2 linked regions of the Styela clava genome follow. The protein of the gene in region 2 interacts with the protein of the main gene of each other region in a biochemical or structural test. Links are inferred from orthologs where the notes say so. Each region holds a gene or a part of one and is shown on either strand. Other genes may lie near its edges. The genes, in order: max-like protein X and MLX-interacting protein-like.

Region 1 (11,055 bases), on a different chromosome or scaffold from region 2:
AATACCACGTCACGCTGATAATAACAATCGGCGATTATAGCAAAATGCTATTGCACGCGTTATTGGCGACTTTTAGTTTTAAAAAAATTTCAACGGCAACGCACGGGTATACCTAATATATAAAACTTCGATGTCCACCGACCCGCAAGAATTAATACTTTCAAAAAAATGAATCGGGCGGGAATACAGATTACGAACTTTAGGATCGCGGCGACAAAAACAATTAGCGATTTTGATGAATTTAACCAGTAAATAAAAAACGCTTTGTTGTGGATTTTTCAAAGTTTCTTCTAATTTTCGAAGGGAGTATCGACCTCCGACGGACCCCCATTGTATTTAAAAAAAAATTTCGTTATTCGACTATTCGGTATTCGTGAAAAATATTCGAACTATTCGATTCGAAAAAAATATTCGATTTTGCCCACCCCTAGTCACGGTCTCACGGACCCCTGTTTATGAATCTTACGGACCCCCATCCTTACAATACAATTGACATTAATGTGATGGATGAGGTTGCTTTTCACTGCACAATTTATCAATTGTGTTGTGACAAGCAAACTAATAGGTCTGACTCTATCATGTAGAGTCGTTGCAAGAGCCAATAAAATTTCAATTGCCTTTTCTGACAGCAATGGATATTCTTCCGCAACTCTCAACAAAATATTGAGATGGCTTTTTGATTGAAATCAATCATTAAAGTTCAATCAGACTCTTTTCATATCGTTGCGGACCCCCTGTGCAGTCATCAGTTTGGGACGCTAGTTTGGGAAACCGGTTTATATCAGGATGAGATTTCAATATTTATCATAAAGGAGTGGACAGATATCAGATCAACTAACTTTGCAATCATTTAATCTAACAAGAGAGCTATGCTCAAATATATGGACACGTAGCGCCACCCAATGGCAATAATTTTGATGACGTCATAGCGAAAAAAAAAGTAACAGCCTTCTGGAGAAAAATTTTATCTTTAACCACTGGAAATTTCAAAGCAATTGGTCCAGTATTCGAAGAGAAAAGCGATTTTTTAAAAATGGAGACGGAGACAAATAACAATAACAACAAAATTTTGAAACGATCGTTATGTCCACTTCGTGTCCAAAAAGAACTTTTTAAATGACTTGTAAAAAAATCTATGTGTCTACCTCTTCTGGAGCATTTTGTGGTGGTTGAAACTTTTTCAGAACTTCCTCAGCCAGAACAGACATGTATTCTCCTATTCCAGTAAACATGATTGCAAACAAAGGAATTCCAATTAAAGCATAAAATATGCAAAATATCTGACTGTACCATTGTGTTGGGGCAAGGTTTCCATAACCTGAAAATATAGAATTACCGTAATGATTAAAACTTTCATTGTCCGTATGAGATTTGTAGATTTGCATTAAAAGTTAAATATTTTAAGCACAAATCAAAATTACCTTCCTGGTTGGGAAATGCTGGTTTAAAAAATGTTTAACAAAGTGTTTGAGAATCTGACAATGTTGGTATAACAGAATAAAATAATATCGACATTTTCAAGATTTATAATTCATAGGTTGTGAGAGCAGAGTTCAGATATTTTTGAGAAAAATAGTATAAATTAGCAAATCATACCAATGGTTGTGATGATGGTTCCTGTGAAGAACAATGAACTTTGAAAATCCCAATTTGCTGGACATTTGACATTACCCTGCAGACTAATACCATGACCAGAAAATATGGTGACATTCTAGGAAATACAATAATAATAAACGTGAGAATGAAATTTTTTTATTTGATAGGTGGCACAGCCACAAAGAGTTGCACGGAATGTTCCCAGCTCTTTCATCAGGGCAGCTACAGATGTAGCGTTACCAATAACAGAACTGGCCCAGTGGCAGGGTTGAAGGACATAGTTGAAGACCAGCCTGGTATTTTATTATCTGATTTTTTTTTTTAATTACAAAATATATAAATAAAACAGGATTTTCTTTGAAATATTTCGAATTACCTACCAGCAAAGCTTATCACTTATGTATAAACAAGCTGAACAAAACAAATGAATTATAATCGGTGGACTAAGTACCAATTATTTATTACTTGAGAGCCCTCTGGAGGTTCACACCTAAAAAGCCTGCATACTATGTAATATTACCCTGAATTTGCATATTTTACGGTCGAAATATCTGAGTTTTCAAAAAAATATCCTTCCCGATGGCAGGAATTTAGAATCAGGCATTACTTAATCAAAAGCCTCTAAAAGCACAAAAACACTATTATTCCTGAGTTGACGATTATGGCAATATTACCCAAAAACTTTTTTTGTCATGTATATTTAGCCCAAACATAAACCATATATGAATTGAAAAATTTTGAAAGGCAGTATGCTCACCAATAATAATAATCGCAACATATCAGGTAAAGCAAAATTCTTCTCTGAAAAGCACTACTATGAACATTCATACCGATAACAACAATAAAGATATACTCTCTATAAAAGAGCTGATATTAAGAATGAATTTTGTAGTTTTAGAGTCAAATTAACATCTAACCTTAATAAACTTGTTTAAAGTTTCTTCTGTAAAACCTTCATTATTACGTGTTTGATTCAACCATTTTTCTTTAAATTGTTTTGCATCCTTGCATCGTTGTTTTTCCACTGGTCTTTCCATAGCCATGAATACCGCAGCACCAATAATCATATACACAAAATAGAATACAATTAATAAAATCAAAACGCGTATTCTCATCAACATTCTGAATTGGGTTATCCTACCACATTTGACATGAAAATTAACTCCGTAAGTACACTACATTTCCCGATCGCAACTGCCCATGCATATTGTCTATACTTCCATATGCTGCACTGACTAATTGTTTCGATAACACAATGATAGGAAGCTCCGCTTCTGGTACATAATTAATTTGTCTAGAAATGCTATTGTCAGTGACGTAAGAATTTTTGTGCATTGCGCAACATTCCAACTTTTACAGTGGTTTTATGAATTAGTATAATGCATAATATGAATTGATAAGCCAACTACATTTTTCTTTCCTCCATTTCCACTTATCCTTTAATTAAATGCACATCACTACAAAATGATCACAATCATAATAATTGTCCAATAAAGTACTGTACTTTCTCCTTAAGTGATTTTCCAGAAAACCACGTCACAATGATGGAACTGTACCTTATCTCATTATAAGAAAACAACTTGCAATTTATAAGTCGTAAAATTCAAGCAGAATGATATATTACTTAAACGCAAGATTATATTTGTGATAATTAATACAAAAAATTAAATCATTATTAAATAGGTATTTAGGCACACTACATTTAAGAACATTTTCATCAACAAGAAATTATCTATTGTAAATCATATCTTGAAGAAAGGGACTCGATATGACAAAAAATAGCATGAAAATCATTATTTCTGACAAGTCAACTTTTTAAATTGGATCAACTCGAAAATTAAGGAAATATGACTCGGGGGATTCACAGACTTCTACACAAACTGGTAACCAGGATCTTCATTTTTTTTCAGTAAATATAATTATTTTTAAGTGAAACTGGTGAAAACGTTTGCTCGGTATCAGTATAACAAAGTCAATAAGATGCAACAAGATTACATATTATATGCTTTTCCTGTAAGAAAATGAAAAGGAAAGATCATCGCAATTGTGGATTCAACTGCTTTAAAGTATCGATTACAATATCTCGTAATGATTGTGGAGTACATTGTTCTTCAATCCAACTAAATACACAATGGGACAGTTCTTGAAAACTAGCCACGGATATTGATGAATTAAATGAAACAAAAAGAGTATCCATGATTCTTTGAAATACTTCAAATTTTACTTGATCTGACAATTGGTGATTGGAGTTTGCTGGGTTTGATTGATGAGCTTTGACTATTTGCTCATAATTTGATTTCATAATCGATAAAGATTGTTCTTTTTTACGAAGTTTTTCCAAATCTTCTGTCTGTTTCTTTCTCTCTTTTTCCAGATATTCTATGTAATCAATTGATCTTTGAAGCATAACAGCCTTGCTGACTTTTTGTGATCCTACGGTTTCTGAGTGAAGTTTGGGGACGAGCGTTTGAAGCTCGTCATATCCTTTCTTTATGTTGTCTCTCCTACGTTTCTCAGCGAGTGTGTGAGCTTCTCTTCTTTTTTGCCTGTATGCGAAAAAATAACTACATGATCGAGGAAGTTCCGCTTTGCAATAAATAGTCGAATAGTCATATTTTTCTTTCCCAAATCGATGAAGTTTACATAAAGTACAAAAACTTTTTCTGCTACGTTACATGCATTGTTGAGTAAATGGAGTGAGTATATGGAAAATTGACTCTGACAATAATTCAACTCTGATTCTGGTTTGCAAAAAATTCCCATTCCGATCCCAGAAATAAATTTTTGGTGTAAACCAGCATCTTTTATTAATAGACTGTCAGTAAAATAAAATGAAGAAATTTAGACTTATTTTATCACCATTGAAATTTTGCAATTCCGACTCTGAATCTGGGGAATTCAGAATTTTGACACCTGCTCTAGAGAAAATATGGGGAGCTCTCGACTCCGCTGCCCTGGTTACATGTATATAGTTATCATAAGCTATTGTATCACCACATTTGTGGCAGTATGATCATGTATAAACAAACTATAAAATGTTCATTACCGTGTAATGTTACATTATAAACAAACTAAATTATAAATATAAATACAAAAGTTTACTATTCGAAGATGTAACTATAAGTAACATAGCAATTTACCTGAACTTGAGCGGGCGTTCAGAGCTGTCATCATCTTCATCATCTGTGTTATGAACTGACGAAGCAGCACTTGATGGATTAGAAAAATGCAGACTTGAACTATGGTTCGGAGATGCCAAATCTATTTCCAACTTGGCACCATCAGAATCGCTAATCTGATCATAGCTTGAATCCATGAAACTTGATGAAGCAGACGAAAATCCAGAAGAATTCATGACTCATTTAAAATATCTATCACTACAGTATAAAAATTGTCTGTAGTCTGTTGCTGTATTCAGGTATTGGAAACGTAACACAATAATCTGATAATAGAATAATAAAAAAGGTTGCCGACCAACATATTTTGCATAATACCGTGTTTCCCCGAAAATACATAAATAAGACCTAGCCTGAAAATAGGATCTAGGCTAAATTTTAAAAATAATTTTAATATAAAAACCTAAAATAAGACCAAGTCGATAGCGCGAATTTTTTCTTAAATAAAAATGTGTTAGTTATAAGAAAATGAATATCATTTTCATATTTTTCATATTTGAAAATCTCGTAATTCTCTACTTTGTAATTTTGTTTTCGAGGAATAAAAATAAAAAACCATCCCCCAAAATAAGCCGTTATGTTTCGTAAGAAAATTGAAATAAGACATGGTAGCAAACCGCCTTACAATATGGCACACTTACAGACTTAGTTGATGAGTATGGTACCAAGAAGCACTAAATTTAGATCAAGGTTTCTACTAACAACGGGAAAATTCCCCAATACAGCAGTATGTTGCAGTAAGAAAAGAAATTCACTGTTTTGGAAGACTGGAAGAGGAAATATTACATTACATATTTATTCACACATTATAACTATTACTGTATTATGAGCAATTCAAACCTTACGGCAGTACGGTACAGTTATAAAAAGTGTGAGTGTTAATTACGCATATTACAGTATTCAGGTATTTCTAGCCTACCCAACTTGTTTTGTTAAATTTCTCCTTTCGCAGCTTCGCCTTTTTTGGAATTGTTTATTCTTCCCTCACTCATTCACTGTTTACTCTTTCCTACCTAACGAGGAATTCCTCCCGGTATGCCTGTTGGGAAACGCAACCCAATTCAACTTGGCTAGTACGATTACATAATTGGAAACAGGTTAAGCACTCTCGACCGCCATTCCAGGCTGCAGAGCAACTATTTGCTGGCTAAGGAGAAAGGGCAGCATCGTATCTTATCGTTGCGCCACAGGCGGCTGCCTTAGCGCCGGTGATAAACCGATTGATTTTAGTCAAACCGTAAATGTCAAACAACAACCATCTTCCTGGAATTTCACACAAAAATCAATCATTATTCAGTTTATCAATCAATGTGAAAAAATACGGGATATTTATTGAGCGATATTCGTTTTCAGTGTTTCAAAAATGAAAATATGAAACATACATAAATATATGGAATACAAGCAAAAACTTAAGTTACCCTTTTTATCAAATAGACTACTCCAACTTTTGACATTGGATATTTCATCGCAGTAAATGATGCAACTAAAACATAATAAAGTAACCGAGAAGTCAAGCATAGGCGCTATCTATGTTCACCACTTCTGAATTTCCTAAGCGATGAAGTTATAGACTACTTTCATTCAAGGCGATTTCAATCATTTTACTGAATTTTATCCTATATTACAGCCACATACTATTCATGATTTATCAAAAAAAAAAAAAATTATGACATCACAAACGGGAACACAGCTCCCTTTTTGTCGATTTTTATGAATGAATCGATGACGTCATATGATGAATGCTACGCATCGAGTCATACAGTTGTTACGGACGCTGTTTGAAGTAAACTATCACCAATACTGTATTTTAACAGTATTTTCTGACAAAAAATGGCCGTGATATTCGAAATTACGAATGATTCAGCAATCAAGCAACGAACAGTTGGAAGTTTAGTGATCGTGGTTCTGGAGAAGTAGTGAAATACTGAAAATAATCAAGTCTTTTATGTAGGAATAAAAATAAACAATATGGATTCCATTGTTCCTACTCAGTCGTTGCAAGCTATATTTACTCCAATACTATCACAGGTGCAGTGTGAATTTTCTGTTTTTTAGGATCCTGTATAAATCCAAAAACCCAGAATTTTAAAGTATCAGTGATGAGCAGTGTTTGCGAGGCTTGAGTCATTGACTCGAGTTGCACTCAAGTGACCTTTTTTAAAAGATTTTAAGTGACTCAGGTCCTCTAAATATAATGACTCGGACTCGTCATCAGCTAACCATCAGTAAGACTCAGTATTGACTCGAATCAAGATTCCGACCCATGATTAGCAACTTGGGGTTTATGGACTTTTACCTCACTTCATCACCAATGGGAAAAATGGTTTGAAAAAGTACTGATTTAGTCCTGTTGTTACTGATTTTCGGTTAACATAGACATTAATACTTTTCAGATCACTGAATTGTTGATTGTGACATCTGAAAAATATGAGTCAGAGACATCAGGAGGGTCGATAAATATTTTACGACCATTGGTTTCTATGTCAGAAGACATTGTTGAGAGTTTAAAAGACTTGACAACGGTATTCAGTTTTGTATTTAGTGTCATTGATTTGCATTGTGATTGCAACGACTGCTATATGTCAGCGCCCAATGTGGCAAATTTCATGTCAGATCTCCAAGCCATTCTCGCGACTATCACAGATTTGATTTATCCTTTGTCTATCGTCAGATAAACTTCTTTCCTATTCGTGAAATAAAATAAATTTATTCTGTTAAATATTAACGTAGTTAAAGCATTTCGAAGTTTGACAAGAGTCATGAACAAGGCATTCCTCGAAAGGTTTTATTAAATCAATTATGAAATCTTTGAGTTGTCATTTATTAGAGATAGGGTGGGTGTTTCAATAGTCATGTGTAGAGGAACGTCGCAAAGCAGTTCAACTTTATAAGACCAACTATATAAGACCTGTGCCTAAAAGTATTGTAAGGCACCAGGTTTTTTTGACTTAATAGGTACCTAATACTGGATAATAATCATTGGTAATGGTTTGTATATTTGTATTTTTTATATTAATTAAAAATTTTTTAATAATTTCCTGTAGGTTTGCCAACAAACTGTGACACTGGAATATGCGAAGGATAATGTTGTAAAGAAAGAAATAGATTGTGGGTCTCAGAATCTACTTGTTGCCGGAGAAAGTTTAGTTCTGTGTTGTCATGTATGTTGTTTTATTATTGTATAGGAACTCTATCGATTATATTTCATTGCCACACTTAAATATGTCAAGAAGAATCCGCTTAAAAGGAATAGTTTTTAAAAAAAAGATCATCTGATTCTGAATCGTCGTCTTCAACATATTGAGAATGTAACTGCGATTAGTATTAGTAATGTCCAAAAATTGCATCTGCAAAAAATTGGAAATATAGTTTGAGAATGGAACATAATTTTCAAAAAAATCAGATAATCAAACTGAATATTTTTGTTGTGGATGTTATTAATAGATACAATTTATGTCAAATTTTACGAACTATAAATTAGGATGTATTTTTAAATAATGTAAGATTTTTTGCAGTATTGAATGATTTTCCATAGAAGTGTAGAAGTCATAATACTGAAATCTGATTGATATTATTTCTACAGATATTGTGTTCGGCTACAAAACCTGATTACCAGCTAAAAACACCAGTTCCTTATCAGAATGATGTTCCTGGATGTCTTTCTGAGTTGAATCAAGTAAGTTTTTGGCTAATTTTGCTCTATCTACCGTAATGGTTGTCTGAGAAAGTGAAAATTAAAACTTCTGGTATTATATTAATGCACTCAGGATGAAGTTTTTATTTTTTTGTGGATATTCGCGCAAAGCGAGTTTGTGTGCACTCGCAGAAGAAAAACGAGACTGATATCCAAGCAAAATTACGAGTGATTACATAACCTAAATTTTATGCTTGTATACAATTGATATTGAAAAGCTTTCGTAACATATTATCCCTTCTTTGTTGCTGTGTTCAATAGCCAATATATTATACAACATACTACTGACTGATACATAGACTGGCATCACTTTTTTAATGGAATCTCATTTTGTCACAGTGTATGATGCATTTACTTCTTTCTATTGATGATGCTGAAGTTCGAAAAATTGCAAGTTATGGTTGGTCCACTTCTGAATGTCTTGCAACTCTTGCTACTGCTGACACATTGCAAAATTTGAATGGTATGTATGTATGGTTATTTGTATTCACATATATAATATAGAGAGGAAACACAGAAATATGATACAAATACTCAACTCGGCGTATATGACTCGACAAGCACATGATTGATCCAAGTATTGGGAATACATTTACTATTACACATGTGATTACCCTGTGTGGGATCGTAGGTTCAAATCTTGTAAGAGATAATCATATGCGAGAAGATTGTTGGACTCCTCGCTGTTGTGGGGTGGTTCACATAACCATTTGCCAAACAAATACCTAGTTAATATTCTCCTAAATGACACTACTACTAGTAACCGGACGGGAGTCCGTGGTTTGCCATATGATTAAGTCGTCATATAAATAAAATGTAGGATAAATGTGAAAATTCTACAATACACGACATTGCTGAACTAAGACAAAGTTTTACGATGTGTAGTTCAAAATTGGTGTCGCTTCTTTAGTATGCTCGTTTTATTGCTTTTTTCAGTTCATGGTGCATACAAGATTTTTGATATTACAAATAAAAGATTATGTTAATTTTGAGATATCGAAAAATTCTAATACTTACGGTAAAAGTAGAATAATCACATCAAATATGTTTATTCATATTTCAGATAAGTTCCGAAGCTTTGCTATTCCTGCAGCTGATCTCCACAGAGCTGCAAGTGCAAGATGCAACGACTTATTGGATGATAAATTACAATACAAATTGAAATGTTCTTTGTCAACTTTAAGACAATCTCTTCCCATGCTAACAGCAGCGTTGCAAATGGCAATTAGATATCCCGACAATGATGAAGTATTAAAAGGCAGAGATTTCTGTGTAGAACAGGTGAATAGATATAAAAATTTTATGTGTTGACTAATTGACTTCTAGGGTTTAACTTCTGTACCTAATTATACCTGCTGTTTTATATGTGGCACAAGTCAATTCATATTTATCCCGGGGTAGAAGAGAGTCGACAGGATTTCGCCGTCATAGAGCGAAGCAAAGTCCATGTCGTATGTATACTCTTTTCAGATACATGGACTTGATAGTGAAGAAAGTCATAATGAAACATCAGTTGAAACATGAAACATCCCCCCCTCCTCAATGACGAGTAATCCAGCAATCCCGATTCTCATAATTATTCCTCACAATATTTGAACCTACGAATCTTCGATTATGGTACGATGCTAGTGATGTTTCAGTGTCGGCTTGTAAGTCTTCCATCGGTAATATATTGGGTTAGATAGGGCTAAATATCTTGCTTTGACTAAACTCACAAGAAGGATATTATTTTCCATGATACTATAAAAAGCAACAGGAACAGCTGGGTGTGTGGGAATTGCACACAGTGAGAGTTCTTTGAAACATTAGTTTGTTATATAAATTTTGCGGATATGCCAAAATCTTTGTAATATGTAGATGAGGATTATTTTAGTAGAATTTTTTTGCTCTGTTTTCATAAAAGAAATATTCAATTTTATCAAAGCCTTAAATTTTTGACTGAAAGTTATTCATCTAGATTACATTAAAATTGAATGTGAAAATTAATACCTGAAACCTAAGCGAATAACGTATCTTGTAATATATTACCCAGCAACCCAATTTGGGTAATTTATTTTCAGGTCCGGAAAGCAATCGCAGACATTGTTAAAGTTATCACAACTAAAAATATTCGGAAATCATTTTTACCTGGTACGAAAATTGGTTTATTTTATGAAAAGTTGAATGAAATCAAAAAAATGTTGTCAGCAGAAAACAGGAAGAAAATGAATTTGATGAACCTGCATACCAGTGTTGAAGGTTTTGTTCAATATGCCATGGATCTTTCTTTGACTTTAGTGAAAAGGTGAAGTATTTTGTTCAATACAGTTGAAATTGATTTTTTAGTTCAAGGTCGTAATCCAGAAGGGCAAAACTTGAAAAATCTGGTTTTAGAAAATAAAAAAACAAACATGTTTTTTTGATTTATTGCTTTACGCTATGATTAGATATCAGCCTTAATATTTTCAAATAATAATGTACAATCTGTAATCTTGTATTTGATTTCATCACTCATTTTATATTTTATTTTTTTTACCAAAACTTATGAACAAGCCAACATTTAGTTTTGTAGAACACTCCGTTGAAAAAATAGGGGAATCAATAGAAAAA
Region 2 (11,940 bases):
TTTTTAATCGCTTTGGTAGTTAGATGAGTTCAAACTTTTGTTGTTATTTCCGATATAGAAATGTTGGAACTGCATTGCTAACTTGGGCTGATTTTTTATCGGGTAATAAAATATTATTATCCTATCAACGCTTATCAGCTAGGTCTTAAATTTATTAGATACAAAGAAGCAAATCAACGAACCAACTTCGATTACTCGTACGTTTTATCGTCTATTTCGATACAGATGGCGGGGTCTTTGTAACCATTTCCTGTGATTATTAGCCAAATACAGAATCAAAGGTGAATAAAGTGTGTATCTGTAGTCAAAGCGTGATTTTCAATAAAACTAAACCCCGAAAATTTCCGCGCATACATTTCTCAGGATAAACATTTTTTGGCCTCGAAACGAAAGCACTTCAATAATAACGGTATAATGGAAACAAGTGCGACACGTGAAACACCAGATATGTACAGCGGTGTTGACACTATCAGCTTTGCGATGATAAAATAACGTATCAAGCCAGTTATCCGCCATTCAACCCAAAATTATCACGGATTATTCGCAACCGGGATATTTTGAATTTTGTTATCACTGTTGGACTTTAAACAGTCGAAACACAATCTGAGAATTTGTGTACGAATTTGTCATCAAATCGTTATCAAAAATAAAGATATCAGTACAAACAAACAACAGTTTGGTTAAAAAGGTACATTTGTTAATATTGTACTTTGAAAACGCTTGTTAACTTTTTATTATTATCAACAGATCGATCTTGGACGAATTATGATCAACAACAGTGTTGGACGAAATTGATGAAAATGTAGACAATCATGATAAGGTGGATATTGTTGTAAGCGGTCTGGCAAGGAATTGAGTCTTCGGAGCCATATTCTTTGGTACAGTATTTTTCACTACATTGATAACAAAAGATATCCCAAAAGATTTTTGAGTTAGGAAGACTAATGCCGGAAAAGTTACTTTTTATATCAGGAGAAATGACTTTCAAAACTTGCAGCATATATTCGCGGAAAAATTCGCCTTTAACACACGGGCGATTCTTTTTAACGATGTTGCGAGCTACAATATAACTGGCCAATAACGTAAATTCACTTTTATTTAACATTTTTTTGAACATTTTTGTTTGACGTTTGTATGAATTTAGCAATGAATTAAATTTTGAAATACGCGCGTCAACTGATCATAATCTGAAGAATGCTTCGTCTCTTAATGACGGCTAATGTTGTATTCCTTCAGAACTGGAATATTTTGTTGGCCAAGAAGACAAATCGCTGAAGTTTTATTCTATTCAATAAAAAATATGAACGCTGCCATTCATCTAAAAATCGTCTGTTTTTTGTGTCTAGTTTCCGTTTTGTGACATCTTCAAGCTTTCTTAATACCGCTGATACTTAAAATACTGTCGTATGTAATCCTAATGCTGGTACGTATACAAAAGATATCGGTGTAATTGAATAGTTACGAAATACTCGTGCTTAAACTGTGATAATGGTGTAACAATTGACGGTATCTAAAACGCGAAAAGGTAAACACAAAAAGTGTTAAACGTATTAGTATTTATTTGCAGTTAAAATTCAACCATTTCACTTAAGTTCGGCGGGCCATTTCAAGCCGTTACGCGGACCGCGGAAAGTGAAATTTTAGGATTAGGTGTTCACCCCCTATAGGGGAGTGTAGGGAAATCACTGTGTTACACGCTTATGTTCTAATCTGAACCATTGCCCTGACTCCACATAGGGGAAAGTGGGGAAGGTTGGGACACTTTTTTTCTTTTTCATATTTTGAGCCCTTTATTCTGCACATTCATATGACTTTGCGGGATTAATGCAGAGAGGGGTAAATGTAGTTTGTATTCAGCGACTAAGAAATTCCCTTGCGACACACATCTTACCACCAAAATGCTTTGAAAAACGTTTGTCAAGTGTCCCACTGTACCCCACTTGTGGGGCACATTCGGACAGACCCTGGGGCACAATGGGTCATTCTGTTAAAATTCAACGAAGTATGCCCTTAAAAATAAGCAATCAATCAGCATAATCGTCTAAAGAACAGGGAGACCTCAAATTTGAAGATTTAAGATTTTTAAAATCAATGTTCAACCGAAATATTTCAGATATTTTACCAAAAAATTCGCTTACAAATTAAATTATTTTCTAATCCGAATCTAAATATGGAAATATTTTTGATTCTCGAATATATTTCATATTGGACCATGAGTCGAAAGATACCATAATGTTACATAAAAATACAACGCATCCATCCACTCGCCAACGTTTTAAATATTTCACAGTGGACTATAGCTGAAAGATATTAGACCAGTGATTCTCAAACTAGGGTTTGAGAGCCGCATGCGGCTCTTAGCAACCTTTCCTGCGGCTCTCGTTAATGCTTATTACTTATCGATCTTAAGATCGGTAAGTATATTGATAGGTATTTGTCTGTATGTATGTCTGTGTGTCTGTTAGATGCACGCGATATCTCACGAAAGCGAGATTGAATCTGCTCCAGATTTTGCATGTGCATTCATCTTATCTCGGACCAGAAGCCTATTGATTTTGGGCGAATTATGTCGTATAATTAGCGAGTTATCAATCAATTATTGATATAGTGATCTAGATTTTTGTAAAGCGAGAGAATTTTGAAACCCGCTGAGTGTGTGTGTGCGATGCGCAGTGCGCAAGTTACAAGAGCGGATGAATCGAAACTGCAGTTTCTGTTTTGGGGGATCCCCTAACTATCGATCGATAAGTCTTCGGTTTCCAACCGATATTCTCGTTGTTTATTTGCCGTGTTTATTTGCGTAACGTTGACTAACCTACAAGATGCACTAGTTACGCAACAGTAAACGTTTTCTGTAATCATTGGCTTGCTTCCATGGATTTTCAGTGTTTGTCGCATTCCCACATATTACCGGTATGTATAAATCAAATGCTCAATGATTAATTCTAGAGCATTTTAATTTTGTTCCAGTAATCGAAAATAGTCCCGAAATATCTGGCGATTATCTCAAGCAGCATCCTCCACGATTACGACCCGCTTTGACAAACTTATTAGAAATCAAAGCCAAATTAAATGGCTGTTAGTCTAGGGTGGGCAAAATCGAATCTTGTTTCGAATCGAATAATTTGAATATTTTTTATACATTTTATGGATCCAGAACATCAGAGGCCGATACACTATTTAGAAATTGATAAAAACATTGAAAAGTCGGCAAAAAAACTTTTTTTTTACTGGTTAATTTCATCATAATCACTGATTGTCACCGCGATCGTTTTGGCAGCGATAACCTAAAGTTGGTATTCTATATTCCCGCCCTTTCTCGTTTTTTTTGCAAGAATAAGCGGTCGCCGAATATCGAAGATTTATATTTCTAGTATATCCTAAAGTTCACATCAGCGACAGCTGTTGAATACATTAAGGGTTGATTTCAAAACCAAATTAATTTTATTCTGAGTTTAATCCTCTGCCTTGGATTTGATTTTCCCTATCACCTTGTAAATTAATTGTGCCTGTTTAAAGTGAACGGTAACCGAGATGCAGATATTTAAACGATAATTGAGTTTCTCATGCGTTTCTATGGTGTTCGTGTTATTTTAGTATTGGATAGATAAACCTAGCAAATTTACGATTGCGTGAATCCTGAATGTTGATTTAAAATAGCGATTAAATAAATTGACAACAAAGGCATTTCTAGGCCTTTGTGTCTAATAGAGGGTCAGACGCTAATTATACCTAATCATTCAAGTTTTAACGTTTTTTTTTCAACAAAACAACACCCCGATGGGTATTATACCTAAAATACTTTCTGAGTAATGCTCAATTTTCTTTACGGAATTTGCAAATTCAGCACTTCACCTAATGATTTTGATCATGTCATGCTATAAGGCTTAATTATTACTGCCCAAATGCTTCAAAATTTACCAATTGTAATCATTTTCGACGATAATAGACGCAACAATTCGTGAACGAGTCAGTGTGCATTGTCACAACAAAATTCACGATTGATTTTACGTTCTACTCTTGGCTCAACGGCCATGCATGGCTGAATAAAATGTTTACATATTCAAAACATTACTTGGCCAAGGATGGAAGGGATCACTAAATAGCTAATACAAAGTGCTTTGAATGGAGTAAGACATGACATTTCTTATCTGGTTACAACTTAATGAGTATTTTTCATACAAGTAACTCATACCAGCTTTCGAAAAAACTTTTGGTCATTTTTAAATCTATGCTATTTACATAACTAGAGTTTTCTAACGACCTAAAATAGCCTTTTACACAATGAAACGCTGAAAAGTCATTTTAACATTTAATTTCAATCAACTTTATGTTCGGTAATGCAAGAAGTGGCCAATGACATGACACCAAGCATGCGGAGGTTAAAATCTGAGATATTTATTTTAAATACCTAATCTGGTTTGATGTTTCTAAATTTACGGAACGGTCGGTACGTTTTTTTGCAAAATAAATATTTGAAACGATACGTCAATTGCAATGACAAGCATTTAACACCAAAACGCAAGGCAACCACTTTTCAATTTTTTTTTTCTGATAGCGAGCGCCTTTGGGAAATCTCGCACAATTTATCATTCAGGTGGAGACGCGCGAGTTTGGTGTCCAAGCAGAGCGGCGCAGGTCACGTGGTACCGGATATTCGAAAAGTAAAATTTTATTATTCGAATATTTCGACCAGCTCTAGTTGTTACGATGACTTGGTATTTTAAATTCGCGCTTTTAGGGTTTGTTGCTATTTTACCTTGCGTTGTTTGTGTGCGGCTCTTCATAACTTTGAGGTTTGAAATGCGGCTCTGGGACTAAAAAAGTTTGAGAAACACTGTATTAGACGGTGATTTGTCACGTTGAAAAGGCTAAGTTAGAAAAAAGAAAAAACCGGACCGGTGAAATTTTAGTTTCAACCCCCCAAAACCAATTTCACCTCATAGCTTGCGTCGCTCTTACCCGTCCGCTGTCCGTTTGCGGGGACGTTGTAACTCACCGAAGGGCGGATTGAAACATCAAACCGCGGACCGGATTCCGAATATGGTATTAGTGTGAGAGCTGATTTTCCACTGTGCCCCATGTCCCAACGTGCCCCACCTTCCCCTACTTCCGTTCGCGACCCTGAGATACAAACAAGCGAAGAAATAAAAAAGCAAACCCAGTTTCGTCAGGATTAAAAGAAATGACCAGAATTTTGTACATCATTAGCTTGGTAGTAGGCTACGTATATGTCTCTTTATAACATTGCAGACACAAACTATGGTATTCATTCAGAAAGTTCGCCAATACGCGTTCATTTTTATAACGGTAAAACGATTGCATTTTTTACTGCTACAAAACGACGTCTTGTGAACTGACTTCAGTGGTTAAATGTGCAACAACTGTGATTGCTTCATATCATTTTTTTAATTATAATAGGCGATATTACCTATATTTTCTTGATTTTAATCTTTGTGATCATATTTTGAGTGGGGTTTGGGACGGGAAAACGACGGTACAAAAGCGTAAAGCTACAGTTGTATCCCCATTAACAACAACCCAATAACAGAACGATTCATATGTACATAGCATGTCCAAAGACAAAGTGTGATTAGTGAGGTTAGCACCCGGTCACAAATATGACTGGAATGAGCTGTTAAACGTGCCGTCGCGCTTGCATTTTTGTTCTCATGTTTCTTGAATTAGGTTGAGTTCGGGTTGTCCCGGGGGAGATAAGACGACTTAATTATATGGCAAACCACAGTCGGTTACCAGTCCATGTTGGATATGGCACAAGTTTGCCAAAAATTCAGATGCATGGAATTGATGGTGGGGGAAGCCGTAACCGGCCAGCGGTTACGTGAACCACCCCATGGCGGCGAGGAGTTTGATGAGCAGGCGCAGAAAAGTCATACCGTATTGCAGTATATGGGTGTACAATTAGGGATTGCTAAATACGGTCGATGCGTGTCAAATCAGCGATGACAAAATACGGTCGATTCATATTGAATAAGGCTGGAGTCAGATAGTGCGCTGTATACAGATAACAGGTGAAAATTGCATCCAAATCACAGCGAAATATGGTCAATGTGTTCCCTATTTATTAAGCTGGTGTCAAGTCAAGTCTGACGAAACACGATCAACGAAACACGAAACACGTCTGACGAAACACGAAACACGATATTTTTAAAATGCAAGGCAACATGATTGGCTGACTAGTGTCTAGTGTAGTTTCGTACCTGAAGCACTACTAGTGGGCGTAGCATAACAATTTTTGCATATGTTAATCCTAACCCCCACCTGACTGCGCCATCCAAAAATTACGTCATTGTAACGTCACAGTGACGTAACAGAGCCCTTCGAACCATACCAACTGTCAACCACTATAGATCCAAGACGCACAGAAGATCACCCGAAATATAGCAAGCTATTTCTCTCGTTTTCTTGTCGTAACGATCCCGATATGCGAGTTCTTTATCGTCGGCGCCGATGCCATTCCGGCGATCTTAGGTATACTTTGGCAAGCTCTATGAGTGATTTTGACTTCGTGCCTTCGTGGTGAAATTGATAATTTTGTTAATATGTTGCATCATGACATATATATTCCGTGCCAGTAACATAGGTCTGTAGGTACCCAGTGGCCAGTGCAGTGTATAGTGCATTGCAATTTATGATTGGGATCTGGTTAACTATAGTCTGATAGTAGTCTACTGTAGTAGGATTCCAAATCTTTTAGGCATTTAATTCCTAATGAGGCTTTGACCAACCAGACTCTACTTTAGATTAATTAGATATACTAGATAATCAGAAACTGCTCGTATGCTTACGCAATTTATTACACATTTTGAGAGGTGGTATGCAACAGTGCAAAGGGTTTGAACAGAATATTTCTAATTTCCATGCTAAACTGTTGCCATATTTCAGATGTTACTATCATTTTATGCATTCAAATGCACATACTTACAAATGATATTCTAATATACCACTAATTAATCTTGAGAAACTGTGAATTTGTAACATAGAACATAAGATTTTTACTTGGATTATTGGACACTATGTTGGATGTAAACAAGCGTACTAAACACAATATTGAATCGATATGGATTAACATAATACATTTGGCAAATACTGGAAAAGAACTCTCTTTGTGAAAACATCATCAGATAACACTCTTCTCGGTATTACTTCAAGATGGAGGGTATGATTGCTCGCCGCTCACAAATGAATTTGAGGGAACGTAAAGGTTGGATTACATTTTATTCGTGGATTGTCATAGCAAAGCTACTGGATTTATGTTATGGTATAAGATATTGCGATAGGATGAGTTACGATGCTCTCGCACCTCTGATTACCCTGCGCGGGTTTGCAGGTTGGTGCGAGAGTATTGCTGGACTCCTCCTCGCAGTAGTGTGGTTCATGTAATCAGTTGGTCAGTTATGGCTTCCTATACTATAAAGTCCATGCATCTGTACTCCTGTTATACTAACTAGCCTAATCCATTAATCCAGTCATGGCTGTGGTTCGCCATATGATAAAGTCGTCTTATAAATATGTAAATCGTATCCTATGCTAAATAAGTCAAGGAAGAAAAACATCCAACAGTCGAGTGTAAATTATAATGGAAGTAAAAATGGAAAGTGCATTTTATCACTAAACATGCCAATGATGAAATCTAACCACTGGTATCAGATGAAAATGATGAAACAAAATTTTAGATGCTTATATGGCATTGGAGATACTGAATAGCCTATGTAAAGTTAACTTTTGGTTCAAGAACGTATTATAGGTACCGATATATATATGATATCTGATGCTAAATCAGTTTTTGCAACTCATTGTAATAAATAATAATCTAAAATAAATTGTGATTATGGTTTTCCAAAATAGTGTTTTTAATTCATATAATTGCTTATCTGTTATTTTGCACTCGTCAGACTAATATTTTCACTGCATAAAGAAAAATATAGCAATAAACTAATCACATATTACTAATTATACTATTAACATATGTACAGATTTAGAATGTAGCCAAATCCACACCATTAGCTTCAAAAATCAAATATTAAAATCGGTCAAATTTCAATATAAAAATACAATTACAATATATTTAATTTTTTTTTATCTTCAAATTTAATCGCAATTGACATTGAATATGAATTATTAATAAATGAATAATTTTGAAATTAAATTTGCTAAAATTATTTTAATTTAAATGATGGAATTTATTTTTATTCAAAGCTGAGAGCAATGGAGAAGTAATCCACTCAGGACATTTTATGATATCATCTGTAGCAGATCAAGATGATGTTGATGATGACGTTCCCCACGACAGAGATTCTCCGGTACATCATGATCAAGCTATCAGAATACGTGAAGGATATGATTTTTCGGATGTTCGGAAGGAAACACAGGTATAAAATAGCTTCTTTATCGGTTCTAACGGTAAATTTTTTAAAATTCTCGTATTTTGACCGAATGCTAGCTAAAGATGTTTGTGTTAAAAATAAGGTTGAATAGCCCCTTAAGCATACTACATTGTGTAACACAATTATAATTCCTGACTTATAATTATTATATTCTAATTACCGTAGTTATGAACCATAATTGGAGAAAAGTGATTTTTTCAATGTACATGTTAAAAGCTATCAGGAAATCTGGGCAAAAATCTGGAAAATTTTATTATACAGTATTAATAAATTTGATTATTTGAAGCTAAGCCAATCCACAGTTGATGTAGGTTGGAAAAACAGGATATGGAAACCTTCAGTAATGTTGTTTCTATTTTATGCTCAAAAAAGTATTGAGAATGGCAGCAATTATGTTTGTCTGCTATAACAATAACATTAATACCTATCGCATATGTAATAAAAATTAATCAAAAAAATTTTTTTAAACAAGATTTCAGCATTGATCTACTTTCTGTATTTATTTTCAAAATTTCATTTTAGTAGTGGAAGGTATTTTCAATGATAAGTATAGACTTTTTGTATCGTTGCCGTAATTATCTTATTGTAAATATTTGTAGAATACCTATCAGTTTGGACATCGTTCAACAAATCAAATTACTATTGATGCGTCACTATCAAGATTATTTGAATGTATGTCATTGGCATATAGAGGGTGAGTCCCATATCAGACTTCTATTCCATTTTGAGATCAGATCTCAAATTCTAATATAAAATGTAGAATATGGCTGAAATAATAGTCATCTGCTAGTAGACCAGATTCTATGATATAAATTTTTTTTAAAATGTAATTCAGTGTTTTTGAACAAGCTTCATTCTTTTTCAAAACTAAAGTGTCCACCTGATTAACTTATAAAGCAAACATTTAGATCTATTTAATGAACAAATTTGTAGAATGAAATGAAAATGTTGGGGCTTGCTTTTATTTCCACTTTTTTTGATTTTAGAGGGAAAGTTGTTTCACCGAAATGGAAGAATTTTAAAGGTTTACGTCTCTCTGTGAAAGATAAGATTCGATTGAATAATGCTATATGGAGAACATGGCACATTCAATGTAAGATATAAATTTGCCTAATACTAATTCGTAGTCTGTAAAAAGATGCACAAAAGTATCAGTTGCGTTGTCTTTATGCACCTTGAAATCATATATCAGTATACATGAATTAGAAATACTTAAACTTATTGCCAAAATTACATGACCATATTTTGTTGAGATGGTTGTTTATTTCAGCCTTCTTTTGTGGATATAAATACTACATACATTATGCTATGTCCTGCAGCAAAATTCTGCTAAGCTTTTAATTTTTAACAAAAAATCTCTGCAACATCGCCAACATGTGTTGTGCAGCAGAAGAAAAGAGTCATTGACACAAATTATATAATGTATTTCAGACTTTATTCCAAACATTTTATTATAACACAATGTATACTTATAACACAATGCATGTATACCGGTGTGTTAGGTTCATTAGAATAATCTATTGATAAAGCATAAAAAATTATGTACTTATTATCATTGGGAAATTAGTATCAACTCGTCATTATGAGCTACAATCACCAGTCTGCAGAATCTTTGTTATCGATATAAACTTTCGATAATGATTGACCAATAGCTGCAGGGGGTGTGGCATCACTTAAAAGTTTTTACAGCTAACATTCATATTATTACGGTCAGTTTCAAATTGGTTCAATTTTGTTTTGAAAACTGGTTTATGAAATTCCTTCTCCTAATTTTACGACAATGACAATGGCTTCTGTCATTTTATATCATTTTCCAGTTTGATAGTCTCAGTTCTATTCATTTTGATTATTATACAGGACAATTTTATGTGATAAACTAGCTGAGTTGCATAAAATTTGAAAATAAAAGTAAATGGCCATAAAGGTTTATCACATAGATAAAAAGAAGAACAAACAGCAGTTTCTCACAATTCACATTGTTTATAGAGTAAACAATAGATATGAGGTTGCGTATTTTTGAAAATATACAATCTTATATTGAGAGATATTTAAGCAAGCAAATAGTTTTTGAATAGTCTTTCAAAATTCATTTGTGTAATTATTGAATTGTTTTTGATGGATGTTTTTCATGGGAGTGCTGGCATAACAGCTGCATCAAACACGAGTTCGTCTGAGTTTACATTCAAATGAGTTTGTTCTTTTACCTACATGTTATTGATTTTCCACTCGACAATGGAATAGTACTACTGTGAAGCTCGTTAGAAATACCATATTTACATATTTACAGAAAAAGAAATACCATATTTAAAAAATTTTTTTTTAATTTTAAACAATCCTAAAAACACCATGATAGTTCCTTTAGTATTGGTTAATATTTTAATTTCGAGAATGAACTCTCAGCTTGGTAGTTTTGTCACGTCAGATTTTGTCTGTGCCTTAAGGCCATGATTACTACCACATTGTATTCTCTTTTACTTGGATTAATTATTACGGAACCAGAACTCGTTATTATTGTTAACCACCCAATTTGGAGCAAAGGTCACATTTTTTTTAAATTTTGTTATTAAAATTACTGTAACACAACTTTCTAGCCATAGATGCATTCTACTGACATCCATGGCCATGTTATATATTGCATATTTTCTTACTTATACAAAACATGTTGTTTTGTGGTGTCTGCGGTTTAGATTGGAAGTTGTGCAATCCTGCAACTACTCTAATGCCAACTGGTATGTTTTGTAAATTGTAATATAATTACATATACTTCTGAAATCAGCATTATCACAAATTGCATCATGTTTTGCTTATGTCTACACGTGTTCAGTAGGCTAGTGCATAAGTTGCCACCCATTATTACCTCATTGGTATTTTTATATTTCCAAGCATGGTTTTTTATTTTGTTTTTCTCAAGATTGCTCATCTTAGCAGAGTACTCAATAGGCAACCTTTTGCAAATAGGAATTAAACGTGTTTTTTTAAATTTATTCGCACTTGAAAGAGATTAACATAAATTTATGTGAATCTCTTTCAAGAGCGGATAAATTCTAAAAGATTCATAATGCAGCCATTAACAATGTTCGCTAAATTGACTATTGAGTGTTACACATATTTCGCGTTGAACAAGTAAATTGAATATTCAAAAACAACCCCAGTTACATTTATTTAGAAATGATTTTACAATTTCTTTTTCAAAGCCATTCTTGTAGTTTTAGTCCTATCAATATGCTTTTTCTTGGTTGTTCAAATTTGGATCTCACATCATATTTGCTCAGATTTGAACTTGCGTTACTAATGAAATGTATATTCAATTAAACATTCAAATAATGAAATATGATCTGAACATTCTGAAGCTATTTGGTTGATTTGTTCCCAACCTAATGCTCCTTTCTTTCTTTTACAAAACTTTTGGACCAGTCAGTGTAGATTCGTTTTGGTTTAGAAAAATGATGAGATACTGCTCTAAAAATTTGTTCAAATTAGGCTGTATATATCTTCTTTGTGGAAATAAAATTTAACTGAATGAGACGAAGAT

What was found.
Region 1: the proteins of MLX-interacting protein-like (region 2) and max-like protein X form a complex in vitro, tested with the Homo sapiens proteins (2 studies listed by BioGRID, with this or other methods). The link is inferred for Styela clava from reciprocal best matches to the Homo sapiens genes MLXIP and MLX.

Annotation. Positions count from the first base shown.
Region 1 is NC_135253.1:16,287,103-16,298,157, forward strand, and holds max-like protein X, read right to left. Parts: upstream 5,297-11,055; 5' UTR 4,952-5,296; coding exon 4,737-4,951; intron 4,143-4,736; coding exon 3,632-4,142; 3' UTR 3,296-3,631; downstream 1-3,295. Other genes in the region: uncharacterized protein LOC120326434, read right to left, coding at 1,146-1,318, 1,597-1,711, 2,514-2,717; uncharacterized protein LOC120325823, read left to right, coding at 6,741-6,800, 7,166-7,294, 7,817-7,933, 8,356-8,448, 8,806-8,929, 9,530-9,747, 10,527-10,750. UniProt on the Homo sapiens protein: Transcription regulator. Forms a sequence-specific DNA-binding protein complex with MAD1, MAD4, MNT, WBSCR14 and MLXIP which recognizes the core sequence 5'-CACGTG-3'. The TCFL4-MAD1, TCFL4-MAD4, TCFL4-WBSCR14 complexes are transcriptional repressors.
Region 2 is NC_135255.1:14,831,510-14,843,449, forward strand, and holds the start of MLX-interacting protein-like, read left to right. Parts: upstream 1-6,907; 5' UTR 6,908-7,173; coding exon 7,174-7,225; intron 7,226-8,220; coding exon 8,221-8,393; intron 8,394-9,007; coding exon 9,008-9,102; intron 9,103-9,394; coding exon 9,395-9,501; intron 9,502-11,940. UniProt on the Homo sapiens protein: Binds DNA as a heterodimer with MLX and activates transcription. Binds to the canonical E box sequence 5'-CACGTG-3'. Plays a role in transcriptional activation of glycolytic target genes. Involved in glucose-responsive gene regulation.